Linked DNA regions of Drosophila melanogaster. The protein of the gene in region 1 interacts with the protein of each later gene in a pairwise test. Each region holds a gene or a part of one and is shown on either strand. Other genes may lie near its edges.

Region 1 (7,272 bases):
TATTAAAAGTGCAGTAGTAGGTTTTTCTCCGTGCATACCACATTGCTAAAGGGGCGCACTTTACATTTGTTGTTTATTTTGGCGTGAGCGTTGCCAGCCACGAGAGCATAGAAGACATGGCCACTGCGAGCGAGGAAGAGGCGAGAGCGCCAACGAGTGAGTGTGTGAGTAAAGTGGGGAGCCGGTAAGAGAAAGAGTGAGAGAGTGAGTGAATGTCGATGGCTCTCCTTATTGTTGCTGCTTTTGCTGCCGCTGTTGCTGGCATGCCATTTCCCGTTATCAGTGGCAGACTTTCTGCCAACCTGCTGTCGCACGCTGTAAGCGTCGGCGTTGACTTCGCCGTCACTGCCTCAGCCTCTGCCTCTGTCGTCGCTCAACGGTGACGCCACGAACGCCGCACAGTGGGTGTGAAATTTAGTTCGTTCGTATTTTGTCAAATTAAAAAGGATATTATTTTTCACTGTTTTGAATAATCAATAAAATGCTTACTGGTATGTAACCAGTAAAAAAAAAAACTATTAAACTATTGACTTTGTATACTTAATAGTTTTTTAATAGAATTAAATCAATTAGCAGCCTAATTTGCATATACTGCCATTATTGATTTTTGAGTGCTAGAAAGTGGATCGCACGCCACTGTGCCTCATTTTGTGTTCCTCATTTTGGATTTTGTGCGCACGCCGTGCCAGCTAATTTTGGATTTTCTAAGCGAGCCGAGTGAAATATTTTTAGCTCCTCGACTGCGACGCAACTGCACAGTCGGCGCGGGCAGCGACGTCAACATGCAGATTTTTGCAATTGTTTGCCTTATTTGGCCGCTGACGTGATTTTGTTGTTGTTGTTGTTGTTGCCGTTGTGCTTGCTGTATTTTTAGCCAGTTGATTTATCATTCTCATTGCGTTTACGCTGCATTTGTGGCTAATCAGTATTTTGTCTCTCTTTCTCTCGTTGCAGGTGAGTTTCCCCCTTTGTTTGTCCCATCGACGCATTGTTGTACCGTGTAGATATGCATATTGTGCAGATTAAACCGTAAGTTAAGCTAAGTATCCGAGCATTAAGGAGTCGCCATTACTGGAATGTTTGCATCATCGTCGAGTTATTCTGATAAGCCTGATAAGTCAAGATCACGGGTTACGTATACGCAGCGTGGGACAACTCAGCGATTGAGTGTGCTTAACCCTATTCTGAGTGGATTCTCGAGAATCCGCTGACATTCAAGATAAATCAGATTGGAATGAGTATAAATCAGATTTATAATTAGAATATCGTTTTAATATCCGTTAATATATTACCATCTGGGCTTTATTTTTTATATCTACTACGTTTAGAGGCCATCATTTTTCTCCCTGCACTGCATAATAATTTTGTCATTTGCGTAAACAATTTAATGTGCGTGTGTGCGTGAGTGAGTGAGATATTAGAGGCCAAGTCAAGTCTTCGTAGTGCGAGTTTCTGCTGCTCACCCAAGCACTCCCCTTTTGAACTCCGCAGCCATTCGACTTCTTTCTCTTATTATTCCAATTTTCCTATGCCACTGTAGCTGTATTTTTCCCAGCTTTTCCTCCGCTTTTCCGACCGCTTTCCCCGTCGCGCGGCTTTGAAGTGTTTACATTTTGCATTTGAATTATCGCCGTTTTATATGCTTCGCTTTGATTTTCTATTCACTTGTTGTTATTGCCCTGTCTGCCTTACATTATATTAAGCTAATTTTAGTATTTAGCTTTCGTTTGCATTTCAATTCAATTTGGAGAAACGGTGGGGAAAACGCTGTGGGCTTGAAACAGACCGAGTACTGTACTTTTTTATTTTTAATTTCCAATTCGATTTAATTGTTGTTCTTGGCGCTGACGTTGTTGTTGCTGTTCCAAGTTGTTGTTATTTTTGTTTCGCCTTTTCCGATTTGATTTGTGTTAATGTGTGTGTGTGTGTGTGTGTGTGTGTGTGTGTGTGCTTGGCGCCGTTTGGCTTGGCGGCCAAACGTTCTGAACAATAAAAATTTTGAACGAAACGATAGGAAAATGCTTTGACTTTTAGGTATTTGAAAACAGTATTAGCATGGTGTTCATACTTTAAACAGAAACTGAAACTTCAAAATCCAAGAAATATGTTGCAACTATGAAAATCAGCTAATCTATAAAGATGATATCAAGACCACAAGGAAATAACTTAATAACAATAATACATATTTTTTGGTATGACCACTTTATGTATATATATATATTTATATACAAAATTGATCTTTAAAGAAACCCCCTTTGTTGATATCAGTGATTAAGTGCAGTTGAATTTTCCCTGTTAGCCTTGCTTATCTGGTGTTTATCCGTTCTGCAAGATCACTCAATTTCTCACAATTTCTCTCTTAGCTGCTGGTGGCTCTCTTTCTCCCACTTCACGCAGTTTGCCTTCGGAGAAGCTGAGTTTTGTTTACCGACTTGCTGTTGTTGTTGTTGTTGCTGCTGTCGCAATTGAAGCGCAGTTTCTGGCAGCAACAGCATGAGCTATAGTATCTATAGATATACCGATACCTATACTTATGCCTACATGTACATACAAACATATATACCCGTTCGTTCGTAGCTCCAACGGCGAGGCATGCGAAGTCCCTTCAAGCGTTTCAACGTACTTTTTTTTTTGCTGCGCTTCGGTTTGTTTGATTTGGCTTGCTCACCTTCGGCTCGACGGCAACAACAACAACAGCAGCAGCAGCAACAACAACAGTATCGAACGGACGTCGACGGAGGCAGCGACGGAACTGCGAATTCGATGGAGACGTCGGTGGCGGTCTCAACCTGAAATCCAACCTGAAACTCGAAACGAACCCGAGGCTCGTGCTGTGTTTCATTTGAATGGGCACACGACGAACGGAGTTCGAGTTGGATTGGCCACAGTGTGCCGGCCAAATTGGAAGCCTTTGGTTCCACTTTGCGAAAACTTTTAAATTCGCTTAACCAAATTGACAGCTTTAGGGCCATTTCAACATACGTACACGTTTGGTTTCTTAAAATGTAGATGGTAAAGGGGGAAAATCTTTTCGGTTGCACGCTAACGTCAGGGTGGAAGAATGAAAAGCAGTTAATTTCTAGAGAATATATCGTATCGTTAATATTTAATAGTCTTCCTTACAAACCTTAGACATAATTGTGAAAAAGTATAATTTATGTAGTCATCGGGAAACCAATTTCTGGAAGCTGTCGGACGAGTACTTGTAACTGTAGTCATTTATCACAGGCATCTTTTGCAAATACCTTGGCTCAAAGGACCTCATTTCCCCATGCTCTCCCTTTTGGTCTCTTTCTGTCTACCCATCCCGCTTGCACTTGATCCTGTGCCTAGGCCATAAATATCGTATTAAATATTTGCCTTAGTATCGCCTGCGATGTCGGCGTTTCGCGTTTGCATTAACGCCGAATGTTGTCTGTTTATCTCGCTAGTTATTGTTCGCGCTGCCCATAGGTGGTGTTTTGCCATTTTCGAGGGGGGTGTTCATGTGTCCATGGGCCATAGGGGAAGGGGAAGGGGGAAGGGGGAAGGAAGGAGGCTTGCTGGCAAGAGGAACAAGGGGGGGGGAGGGTTTCGGCTCTGGTTTGGTGGTTGCAAACTTTTGTGGCATTGCCAGTTGATTGGATTGCCATGAGATGAACTTGGCGTCGCATGTGAATGTGTGCGTGTGTGCGAATGAGTGTGGCAAGTGATTTATGAGTCCCCAGTGCTGATATGGGATACGCTATACGCTATGGATATACAATAGATACAATGTCATTAGCGCTCTCGCCGATACACTGCTCCTTTTTCCAACGTAAACTCCCTATTTCTTTCGTCGATTTTAATTTAAGCACATAATGGCGATATCATTGACACCCAGTAGTTTAACATTTAATTTTAGCAAGTTTTGCTTGTGTTAACATTATTTGGGTTTCACTGTGCTGCAGAGCGCACATTCCGAAAGGAAACACTTAACTGCTTAAGGGAATCTAGGAGCTTGCGACATTCCTGTAACGAACACTGACAAAAATCAACTAAATTTCAACAAGTGGAGTTTCTGTTTCTATCTCTCTCTCGATCGACAATAAGTTGGAGTTATTTCTAGAAAAAACGAAGCATATTGAAGATGATGCAGCCAGCGGAACAGATCTTCTCCTGCGGATTCGAACTCTTCGGGCGAGTACAGGGTGTGTGTTTGCGGAAGCAGACACGAGATCTGGCCACAATGAACCAGGTGCGCGGGTGGGTGATGAACACGGACGAGGGCACGGTGAAGGGACAGCTGGAGGGCACACTGCCCAAGGTCAACGTGCTGAAGTTCTGGCTACTGAATATCGGCAGTCCGCGCTCGATTATCGAGCGGGCGGAATTCACGCCCACCAAGGAGATCACTTCGCACAACTTTAGCCGATTCTCGATTCGCTACCACAATGTGGCAGCAACGAAAAAGGCCATTTAATAAAGAATTTAGACTTGTAGTCTACTACCGAAAATTGGAACTGTGTATTTGCTGTAACTATTTGTTTGGACCTTTAAATTGAGCTGCCTACGAATGGAGCCCAGTTGTGCTTCTGCGAGCATCATTTATAAACCTCTAAAATGAAAAACAGGCTGCTGCCAGCCACTAATTAAGCCGCACAAAGAAATGCTCAGCGCAATTACATGGAGGCTGGCACATCCACTATGTACTTATTTTAATATATGTATCTACAAAGTAAATATATGTACATATGTATATATATATATATGTGAGATGACTTGGTTAGACAGACACCTGCAGCTTCAGCTTCAGCTTCAGTTTTAGCCTCGGCTTGGCCACATTTCCAGTTGAGCGACGCCCCAAACTGGCAATGAGTTTTTACGGCACACAAACAGCAGCCAACAGGCAACAGACAATACTGGCTATAAGGAAAATCTAGAATAACAACAGAGAGCCACAAATATTTATCGCAGTGCGCTGAACAAGAACAGATTGACTATTTGATTGAAGGTGAAAATCTAGTAAGTCGTGACTTCTCAAGGCGGAAGGAAATGCCTTGAAATGCATTTTTGGGTAAATGTTATCTGTTATGAGAATAACGGTAGATATATATATATGAATTATACGTATACATATATGTACGTAATCCGCTGTCTATTCAACGAATGCATTTATTGCATAGGAAGTTAAGATTTCAAGTGTTGGAAAGTTCACTGTACTGTTTCCGAATTTCATTATTGACAGTTACATGTGTTAGCCTGCTGTTAGAAAAGTGCAAGCTGGTTTCTTAAGTAATATACTAAGTAATATTAAGTGTAACTCTGTTTGTAAATACCATATTTCCGAATTTGATGATGCTTATTCCGATTTAAACCCGTGTGGTTTTAAATCAAAATCGGATTGAAATCAAAGTGCCACATGCATGTCTTATCACATTTTCGAGTTGTCCAAGTGTAACTCGTAACTCGGAGCGAGAATCCAGTTGCCCAGCGCGCCTAGCTGTTGGCGTTGTAGCTGTTGTTGTTGCGCCCCCAAATGCCCTCCATGGGTCGCTGACTACCACGACGCCGCCACTGCCACTGCTCGGGCGATGGCGTCACTGCCGGCGTCTCTGCCGCCGAAGCACTGCGCATAATCACAACAAAATCAAACAAATGAACGGCACTGACACAGCGGCAACACCAACGGCAACAGCAGCAGCAGCAGCAGCAGCAACATCAACGCAGCGGCAGCAACATCACCGCAACAGCAACAGCTTCGAGTCGCGTGTGTGCGTTCATGTGAGGTTGTGTTGGCAACTTCGTTGCGTGTGTAACAGGCGCCCAGATTTTCCGAGAGAGCTGAAAAAGAACATTTTCACATGCGGAGTGGGGTGGAGTGTTCCCATTTGTGGATGTTGGGTTTGCGGAATTTTTATAGGTTAAGCTGTAAGCGGTGTGAAGAGAGGGGGGCGAGAGGAGTGTTGTTGTAGAGAGGAGGCAAGGGGGCGTGGCAGAGAGGCTGGGGCGAGCGAAGAGGGTTGCTGGTGTGGCCTTAACTAGTTTCAGCCGGCCGGTGTCGTTGCCTTATAAACGAGCTAAAAATGCGAGATAAAGAGCGCTTCGCACGACTCACTCGACTCACTGGACTCACTTGGATTTTTGTGAGTGATTCCTGCGAAACCCCAAACACAAACCCAAAACCTCTGAATTTTCCCAGAACACCCCCCCACCCCCCAACGTTTCCCCCGCTTTACCATCAGCTCAAATTCCTTTGCGCATTCCTACGACGTTGATGTCGCTGCCTGTTTCCGGTGTCACTTCCTTATTTAGTTGTTCACGTTTGTTTGTTGTTTTGTGCTGTTGCCTGGCTTTTGGGTAGGATTTCGCTGGATTTCGTCCTTGTAGGCTCAACCCAATTTAACAGCCATCAGAAAGTGGGCAGCGAATTCAATTTGCCTGAAAGCCACCCACAAAAAAAAGAAACAAAACAAAAAAAGAAGCGAAGCAAGGAAAACAGAAACGGTGATCATTAGTTGGATTATTATTAGTCTATTAGTGGTAATCAAATTTATGGCACAAATACAAATTGAGGGAAAACTTTCATGACGCCAAAATGGAAATTGAAAACAGCGAGTGGGGCAGCGGTGGAGCTTGGTTGGAATGGTGGAACGGGGGAGGGGGGGGGGTAAGACAGGTTGTCGCGGCATACATAAATGCAAACACTTTGTGCAAATATTTGTGTCATTAAACAAATGACAAACGAATTGGTTTCAACATGAAAGCCAAGAGAGAGCGAAAGAGTAAGAGAGAGAGAGAGAGCAGCTGACATGCAACATGCTAACAGCAGCAGCAGCAGCAGCTTATCAACCGTCTGTTATGGCTAACAGCGACATCCCCGCAGCAACACCCATACCAACAGCCACCCACTCGCACACAGATACTCACTCGCTGCGGCGCTGCAACAATGCAAAAAGCAAACTTTCTCGCTGCCGGCGTCGCAGCTGGCGTCGTGTTGCTGCTGCTGCTGCCGCTGCCAGCGTCGCTCGCGTCGCTCGAAGTCGCTTCGTTTGGCTTCGCTGACAGCGGCTCGTGCCAGTACTCAACCGACTGCCAAACGGCGCACGACAAACCAGCAGCAGCATCAGCAGCAGCAGCAGCAGCTGAGGCAACAGCAACAGCAACACGACGCCAGCAGCAGTAACAGCCGCACGGCAGAAACAGCAACACTAGCCAAAGAAAAGCTGAGCGCTTTTTTTTTTTAGTTGTTTGCGGTTCGTTCCCTCAGCGATAAAAACACAACAGCAGCAACGCAACAGCAACAACAAAGGC
Region 2 (7,870 bases), on another chromosome or scaffold:
ATCAGCGTAGTTGATTTGTCAATGTATTTCTGTATTCTCGTGGGGATTTGCAATCATTCCTTTTTCTACTTTGCCGCGTACGTTCATGTTCAGTGTGTGATTCTACTTGTTTTTATACAGTACCAGATGTAACGAATATTTGAAATAAAGACGTTCGAGTAACAACGTTTTAATACCTTCAAATTGTAACGAAATGTTTCCGAAGTTATGTTTATTCGTTCGAGGCTAAACACATAAATCAAAAACAAACGCGGACAGCTTTTCTAGGTTTCTTTCTTGCCGAAAGGATTGATTTTAGACAGCCAACTGGAAGAGGGGGAGGATTCCCTGGAATAAATCATTGGTTAGGAAATTCATTACAGAAGTATTTGTGACTTACAGCTTTGTAAGCGCTTCGATATCCGAATCCTTGTGTTCGACCGACGATTCTGCTGCTAATGCATCCGGCTTCTCCAGCTTTCCCGCTTCGCTGATCCCCGCCTGGCGCAGCTGCTCGATAAGCTTTCCGCGGAACTCCAACTTATGCGGCACCACCTTTTCCGCTTCGCGCAGCTGCTTTTGCAGCTTGCGTATGGCCTCCAAATAGGTATGGCCGTACCAATCGATTTCCTCGGGCGTATATGGTTCCAGATAGCGGCGGTATTCCTTAAGCACTTCCTGTTGGCGTTCGGGCTCGTCGGCGAGGGCTGGAACACCGTTCTGCAGGGCCTGAAGCACCTCTCGCTTGAGTTTCAGAGCCAAAGCGGAGCGAAGATCGCAGGCACGATTCTTGAGGAGGTAGTGATCAAAGCCATGACATTCATGGATCTGCTCCAGCGTGCGTTCCGTCACCACCACGGACATGTAGCAGTCCAGCACATGACTATGGACCACCGAACGCCTAAGATTTGGTACCCAAAAGTGCGGCACGCGACGCTTTGTTTGCTCGCGTTTCTGAAAGCCCTTGATCACGGCCTCGCCACCCCAGATGCCACGGTGCGATTCCGGCGTATCGATCAATGGCAGCGGGATGTTCTGCACCGGCTTGATGGCGTGCGTCACCTCATCTCGTTCCCACTGCTGCTCCTTGGGGATATAATGGACCGCAGCCGGGGTCGTCAGCTTCCACTCGCGCCAGAACTTCCTGTACGCCTCGGGCAGCTGGGCTCCCAGACCCTTGTCAAAGCGACCCGGACGCTTCCATCCGTTTAATAGCTTTACGCCCTGCAGAAGGTTTAAACGCTTTGTTATTCCATGGGGTTTACGAAAGTTAACGCAGCTATTGCGTCACAGAAACGCGGCGCACTACCAGTTTCCTCTTTATTTTTGAGGCAATCACATACCTGTGGCGTGGCGTGTGCCATTTTTTAAGGAACGAACTAGCAGTTTACTGTTATTATTCACTATTAAAACTATAGTGGCAGTTTAAACTTGGCTATTAAACTATATTTTCCCTGATTTTGGCTAGGCCAACGGCGCTCTTCCTCTTCCTGTTTGGAAAAAACAGCTGTTCGTATGTGAATGGCTGGCAGCCAGGGTTGCCAGGTTTGAAAAGTATTTCGGAGACAGAGCTTCGTTCAATTTAGTTTTGTGAAATTTAGAAATGCTCGGCAAAAAATTGAGTTTCGAAGTAGTTCAACTTATTTATTATAATCAATATATGAAACAGTGCGCCAAGCCATACTCCGGCATAAGTACCATTCACGAGTAGCAAGAAATAAATTTATGCTGTCGGCAATTAAAATCGAAAAGCGGCTTACTTTCGCTATCAGAATGTAACATGTAAGTTACTAATGTATTAACAATTAAATATCCTTGAAAGAAACGCGATTTATTTTGACTACGTATAAAGCTTTTAGCAAATGCAATTAATTTTTTGGAAATTCTCACGCGGTTAGCCCAGCCTTGTTCAACCTGGCCTTAATCGTGTTTATCTTGAGCGGCAACAGCTGGAGCATTTCACGCACAACACCAATCTCGCCCTGCAGCGTCTCGGCCGCCTCCTTGTGCAGCTGGCAACCAGCATCGAATCTCTGGTAGTAGGTGTGGCAACTAGTTAGGTGCTCCAGCTGCTGGAGCGGATGGCCACTGATCAGCTTGTAGTAGATGCGACCGATGTGGAAGTGGGCGTAGAGCATGTGGCGTTGCTCCTCCACGTCCATGTTGGGTCGCCATTCCTCGCTGGGCGGTTTGACCAGATAGGATTTGACATAGCTCTCAAAGTGCTTGATGGCCTTCATACAGCTCTGATTGACCTTCTTGATGTCCTCCGGCGCTGGCGTGCTAGTGGCCCGAATGATGTCGAGACGGACATCCATCACGGCAGCATGAGCTGTGCCGGCTCCATACCAGCATTCTCGGCATATCTTCATGTAAAAGATGGGGTCAAGCAGATCCAAAAGATCTTCCAGATACTTGGCGCGACGCTTTTGCATCTTGGCCTGGTTTTCTGGATTCTCCTCGAAGAAGGCAATGTGCTCATACGCTTCGGCGTAATCCTGCATTATCTTTGAATACTCAGTAGCTTCGTTCTCGGCCTTGTAATAGTCCTTGGCTATGTCGAGCCACTCGTTCACAAAATGAAACACCAACTTGGCATCGTCGAAGGTCAGGCAGTATTCACAACTAATACGATTTTCACACGCGGTGAGGTCAAGTCCAGGAAACCGGGACTGTTCCGCCTCGACCAGCCGCATATTGCGCAGAACGATCTCCAGGTTCTTGGCATCCTCGTCATCTTCGTCCCGCATCAGCCGAAGCTTGGATGTGTTCATTAAATACAATCCATATTTGGCCCAACAGCGTGCCACATCGGCGTAGCGATGTTTAAAGGTCTCCGACACGTCCTGGCGCTGCTTCTCGCTCATCTCCGGCTCCAGCATGTGCACCTCATATTCGGCCATGATGAGCGTAGCAGCGGCCAGGTGATGACGGGCCTCCTCGAAGCGCTTCTCTCCAATATAGAACTGTGACAAGGTGGCGGTGTTCAGTGCGAAATCAATGGGATCGTATGTTTTTGACTCAAGCTGTCGATGGAGGGTGCGATGGCAGCACTTGGCCGACTTTTCCGGCTCACCCAAATGCCCGTACATTTGCGCCATGTAAAATGAGACTAGCGTGTACAGGGATTCCAGTTCCTTGGGACCAGCTTCGTGAGATTGTTGTCCCTCCTCCGGAGGATTGAACACATCTTGAATGGCCAGGGGCTTCAGACCACTGGCTTTGAAGTCCTCGTAGATTTTTTCTGCCTCCAGGAGAATTTCCAGTCCCTTATTGTACTCTTCCTTGGAGGCCAGCACAATGCTAAGCTCGTTGATTGCCCCAATGAATGGAATGATGCCCTCAGGGCACTCCTTAAACGGCGTGACTAGTTCCAGACAACGATTGAGCATCTTTTCGCCCTCTGCCTGCTCCTCTGTGTAGATGTAGATCCTGCCTAGATCCCGGCAAACGAAGGCCAACAGAGAGTGATAGCAGCGATCGTCCTGACCACCGTCCTCCTCGCTGGCCTGCACAGATACCAGTTGGTCGTCCAGCTGCTTCTTCAAGACAATTAGCACATCGCGCGCTTTATAATGGGAGCGGAATGGATCCGTGGGCGGATCATTGCGGCTCTCCTCCTCCACCAGACGGTTGGCCTTCTCGTATAGCTCCTTGAAGTCGCTTAGGATCTCCTTTGGAATGACCATGTTGGCTGAGCACCCACGGTGCAGGCAAAAGCTATCCTGAATTCGGCAAAGCCTTTTTATTTACTATATTTTTTCTCTATGAGTGTGTAGTGTGGCCGTATTGTGACTGCTTAAACTTTACCTGAGACCCAAACCATGAAAGAATATTTTATTTAAAATCTCAAACTAAATTAATTTGAACTATGTACAAGTAAGGTATTTTCAAAAAGTACATAACACAACCATAAACGCCTCTAATATAAACTTGAAGGCATAAAATGTTTATATAAACAAAACAGCTTAGTGTGACCGTTGCGCAGCAACCTCTATGTCGCAACCCTGGAATTAATTGCTGGTATTATAACGTATTCGATTACAGTCACACCGCATCGACTTTCAGATTTTTTTCGCGTCGCAAATTTTTGGAATATACCAAAATATTTACCACCATCAGCTATTAAAGACTGCTTTTGGCGCTCATCTTTCAAAGAATACTTTTCCACAAATCAGACAAGCTTCATCCGAAAGCGGGCACAATGCTGAAGGGTTACAAGACGGATGAGGACAAGAAGGTGAAGCGACTGTACCACCAACGCTATCGCACAGAGTGGGAGAAATATCCGGAGCTCTCCAGCTGGCTGGCGTCTAGTAATGACGGTTACTCGGCGCACTGCAAGATCTGCGACATCAATGTCCTCGCCAGACTAGCGTCCATCAAGCAGCACCTCGCAACGCGGAAACACCAGGAAAGTTTCAAGTACCACAACATTCTTGCCAAGGTGGGATTGGGTTTGTGCATAAGCAATAGGAATGACCCGTGTCCATTATTGATTCAAATATTTTGCGATCCAAACTAAATTTCAAACACGATTTTTGTGTGAGTTTTCGCCATACTTTTCGTTAACTATTCCATTGACTACTTCTTGTGCAATGGTTAACCAAACCAGTAGCTCCCTCTATGCGATGCACAACTTATCGCTCCAAAAAAAAAATTCTCATCTCATTACTAATTTACATAAAATTAACAACTCCGTATTTATACCTACAGAATATGATTAAGGGTGAACTTGTCAAAGATGAGCATGACCCAGACTTGGAGGCCTCCATAATTTCACCCAAAGCAAAGCCCAAAGCCAAATCAAAGACCTATCCAAGGCAAAAGCCAAGGAGCAAAATGCAGCCAAAGATCAAGAACGACACGAAGGTGGAGAGCATGGAGGAGGAGACGGAGGAGGACGAAATCGCCTCGAACGACTCAATCCTGGATGATTTACTCAGAACAGATCAGCCCTATCAAGAGCAAGAATTTGAGGTTGAGAACGAGTTCCTCGAAGTACAACAGAATGAAACAGATCTCCAGGACCAAGAGGTGGTCTACGAGGAAGAGATGATACAGCTCAAGCCGGAAGATACGGAGATTAATAACGAATACCAAGTCGACGCGATGACGGAAGACACCATTATTAGTGAATTTGACTTGTTTGGCAAGAGTTTGGCTCTGCAGCTGAACAACATGGACCTGGAGGACGCACTAATGTGCCAGGAGCGTCTGCAGGTGGTCCTAACGGAATTTCGCCTGAAGGTGCTCAAGCGCAAGAGAGAGCAAGCACGATCTTCGTAGGCTTACAATTTATATCAAGCTGTCTTATGTACATAATATAATTTCTTTAACAACTAAATAAATAACTATTCTGCCTCAATTTCGTCAATTAGCGCCCGGCACTTTCTCTTCAATACCTTGACCGCCTCCAGGAAGATGACATCGGGCTTCAGTGCGCCGACTGATTCCACGGAGAAAATGTAGTGATCTCGGATACGGGCCAAAGTCACAGCGTCGTTTAGCTGGGGATAGCGATACACATTTCGGCTGCACGTGTCGTAGCGTGCATCCTTTACATAGGCAGTTTCATTCTCGTCAATGCCAATTACTCCTGGTGAGAAACAGTTCTGTAATAGGTACGCATCCTTACCGGTCACCTCGCGGTTCAGCTTAATCATGGGCAGCAGTCGGTAGGTGGCCGTGGCCACCGGCGAGAATTTCGCGTGATCCCGTCCAAGTCCCTTAACCGCCACCAGGCGCAGATCCAACTCGTGACCCGGACGCAATTGGGCAATCAGTATGTCATCGTGAATGCAGTTCACAGCACTCTCGCTGTATATCTGCGCCTGCTTTCCTTTGGGCAGCCACTTCAGATGACCCGAGTACACTTTGTGGTTTTTGTAAATGTCATCGAAGTTGGACTGATCTTTTCCAGCATCCCGTCGCCGCGAGCACTTCACCTTCAGCTCAAATTCAAGCGTATCCTGCTCGGTCCCCGCCTCAGTGCTTTCCTCGGTGCGGTATGCGAATAGACGGGGATCAGCCCGCAACGGAAGTAGACCCATTCGATGGGCAAGTACCTCGTCCTGGATGATCGAGGTGTTGTTGTATATGTACACCTTTTCGATGGCCATGCTGGGCACATCGCTGAGCATCAGGCGACGGAAGGCATTTGCAATGGCGGGATACACGCCAATCAGATCGAACTCCAGGCCGTCTTCGTCGTTTCTAGAAGTGAACACCAATTGTTAATCGACTCGTAAGATTCTAATTTCTATTGAGATTTACCTGACGATTTTGATGTGCAGCTTTTCCTTGAAAGCCTGAACGGAAAATACATCGTCCGCCAGTCCATAGTCCTGCGGATCCTGCTTCACCCGATACTCCTCCATGTACAGAAGCGGCTCCTTGCGATTTTTGCTTGCCATTTGCCCCGGTGTTTTTATTAAATAATTTAACAAAATTGAACCGCACGTGTTGGAATCAATAAGACCGCCTTCTAATACCAAAATATACCAAACTAACTAACAAACTAACTAATATACTAAATAAATATACTTTATGTACTAAATAAATGCTGTTTCGCCGTGACTGGCTGAATAGGAAGAAGCAGCAGGACACCGGCGATATTTTTATTTCTCCAGAAGATTTACGTAAAGCCTTCAAATTTCTGAAACCGGGCGTAAGATGTCCCGCTCCCTGCAACGCTTAGTGGGCAGCTGTCGTCGCTGGGCACAACAGCCCGCAATTCGTCATTATGCCGCTCCCGCAGATTCCACTAAAGGCAAGGGTCCGATCTCTTGGAGAAGTCTGGCCGTCATTGGAGCCCTTGGAGCCGGAGGAGTGGGCTTCATGCTGTACGTGAAGAGCGAGAAGGATGAGGCGAGAATGAAGGAGCGTCAGCGGCAATTGGGAAAAGCAGCCATCGGCGGCAGTTGGGAATTAGTTGATTCGCAGGGAGCTGTTCGCAAATCGGAGGACTTCTTAGGCAAGTGGCTGCTCATCTATTTTGGCTTCACCCACTGCCCGGATATTTGTCCCGATGAGCTAGAGAAGATGGCCGCCGTCGTCGATGAAGTTGGTAAGTAGAGCCTGACTATTTCTTCCAAACCCAAAAAAAACCATGTTTCTCAAACCTTCACAGAAAAGTCCCCGCAAACGCCAGCAGTGCAGCCCATCTTTATCACCGTTGACCCAGAACGTGACTCCAAAGAGGTGGTGGCCAAATACGTAAAAGAGTTCTCCCCCAAACTGCTGGGACTCACGGGAACCGTCGAACAAATCCGCAAAGTGTGCAAGGCCTTCAGGGTTTATTTCAGCGCTGGACCGCGGGACGAGGACAACGATTATATTGTGGATCACACCATCATCATGTACCTGGTCAATCCCGATGGCGAGTTTGTCGATTACTACGGCCAAAATCGGGACAAGGACCAGTGTGTGGCATCCATTTTGGTGAACATAGCCAAGTGGAATTCAATGAACAAAAAGGGATGGTTCAGCTAGGCTGGCTAAGCTAGGCAAATGTTGTTTCGTTGTATTTACTTAATGTATGGCATAAAATATGGTTTTTACTTGATGTATATCAAGTTTTAAATCCAAATTTTCGTTTATATTGGCTATACCTTAAGTTCTAGATTGTAAAAATTTCTGGTTGTTCAAAATAAACTTGATTAACGGTATTTTTTAGATCCCCCTGGTATATCGAAGTGAGATTTTGACTAGGCCACGGTCACACTGCTCTTTTGGCGTGTAGTGCTGCGTGGATGTTGTTGCAAAAATATTCGTTTTCTCGCAACAAATAACAATATAATACAAAATGGTGCGTGCCTGGTCAATGACTACACAGTTTGCATTATTCCGGATGGGTTTCTTTAGAATTTACCCGAAATTACAACTATTT

Evidence for each region. Proteins that work in one complex are often made in the same cells at the same time.
Region 2: the proteins of CG18371 (region 1) and l(2)05714 interact in a two-hybrid assay, tested with the Drosophila melanogaster proteins (one large-scale study listed by BioGRID).

The regions. Positions count from the first base shown.
Region 1 is NT_033778.4:14,024,626-14,031,897, forward strand, and holds CG18371 (uncharacterized protein), read left to right. Parts: upstream 1-3,994; 5' UTR 3,995-4,108; coding exon 4,109-4,441; 3' UTR 4,442-4,471; downstream 4,472-7,272.
Region 2 is NT_033779.5:4,967,610-4,975,479, reverse strand, and holds l(2)05714 (lethal (2) 05714), read left to right. Parts: upstream 1-3,994; 5' UTR 3,995-4,183; coding exon 4,184-4,426; intron 4,427-4,695; coding exon 4,696-5,268; 3' UTR 5,269-5,333; downstream 5,334-7,870. Other genes in the region: mRpL28 (mitochondrial ribosomal protein L28), read right to left, coding at 264-327, 380-1,203, 1,323-1,343; CG14043 (uncharacterized protein), read right to left, coding at 1,866-3,668; Polr1C (RNA polymerase I and III subunit C), read right to left, coding at 5,334-6,195, 6,256-6,395; Scox (synthesis of cytochrome c oxidase), read left to right, coding at 6,655-7,048, 7,112-7,473; eIF3i (eukaryotic translation initiation factor 3 subunit i), read left to right, coding at 7,787-7,789.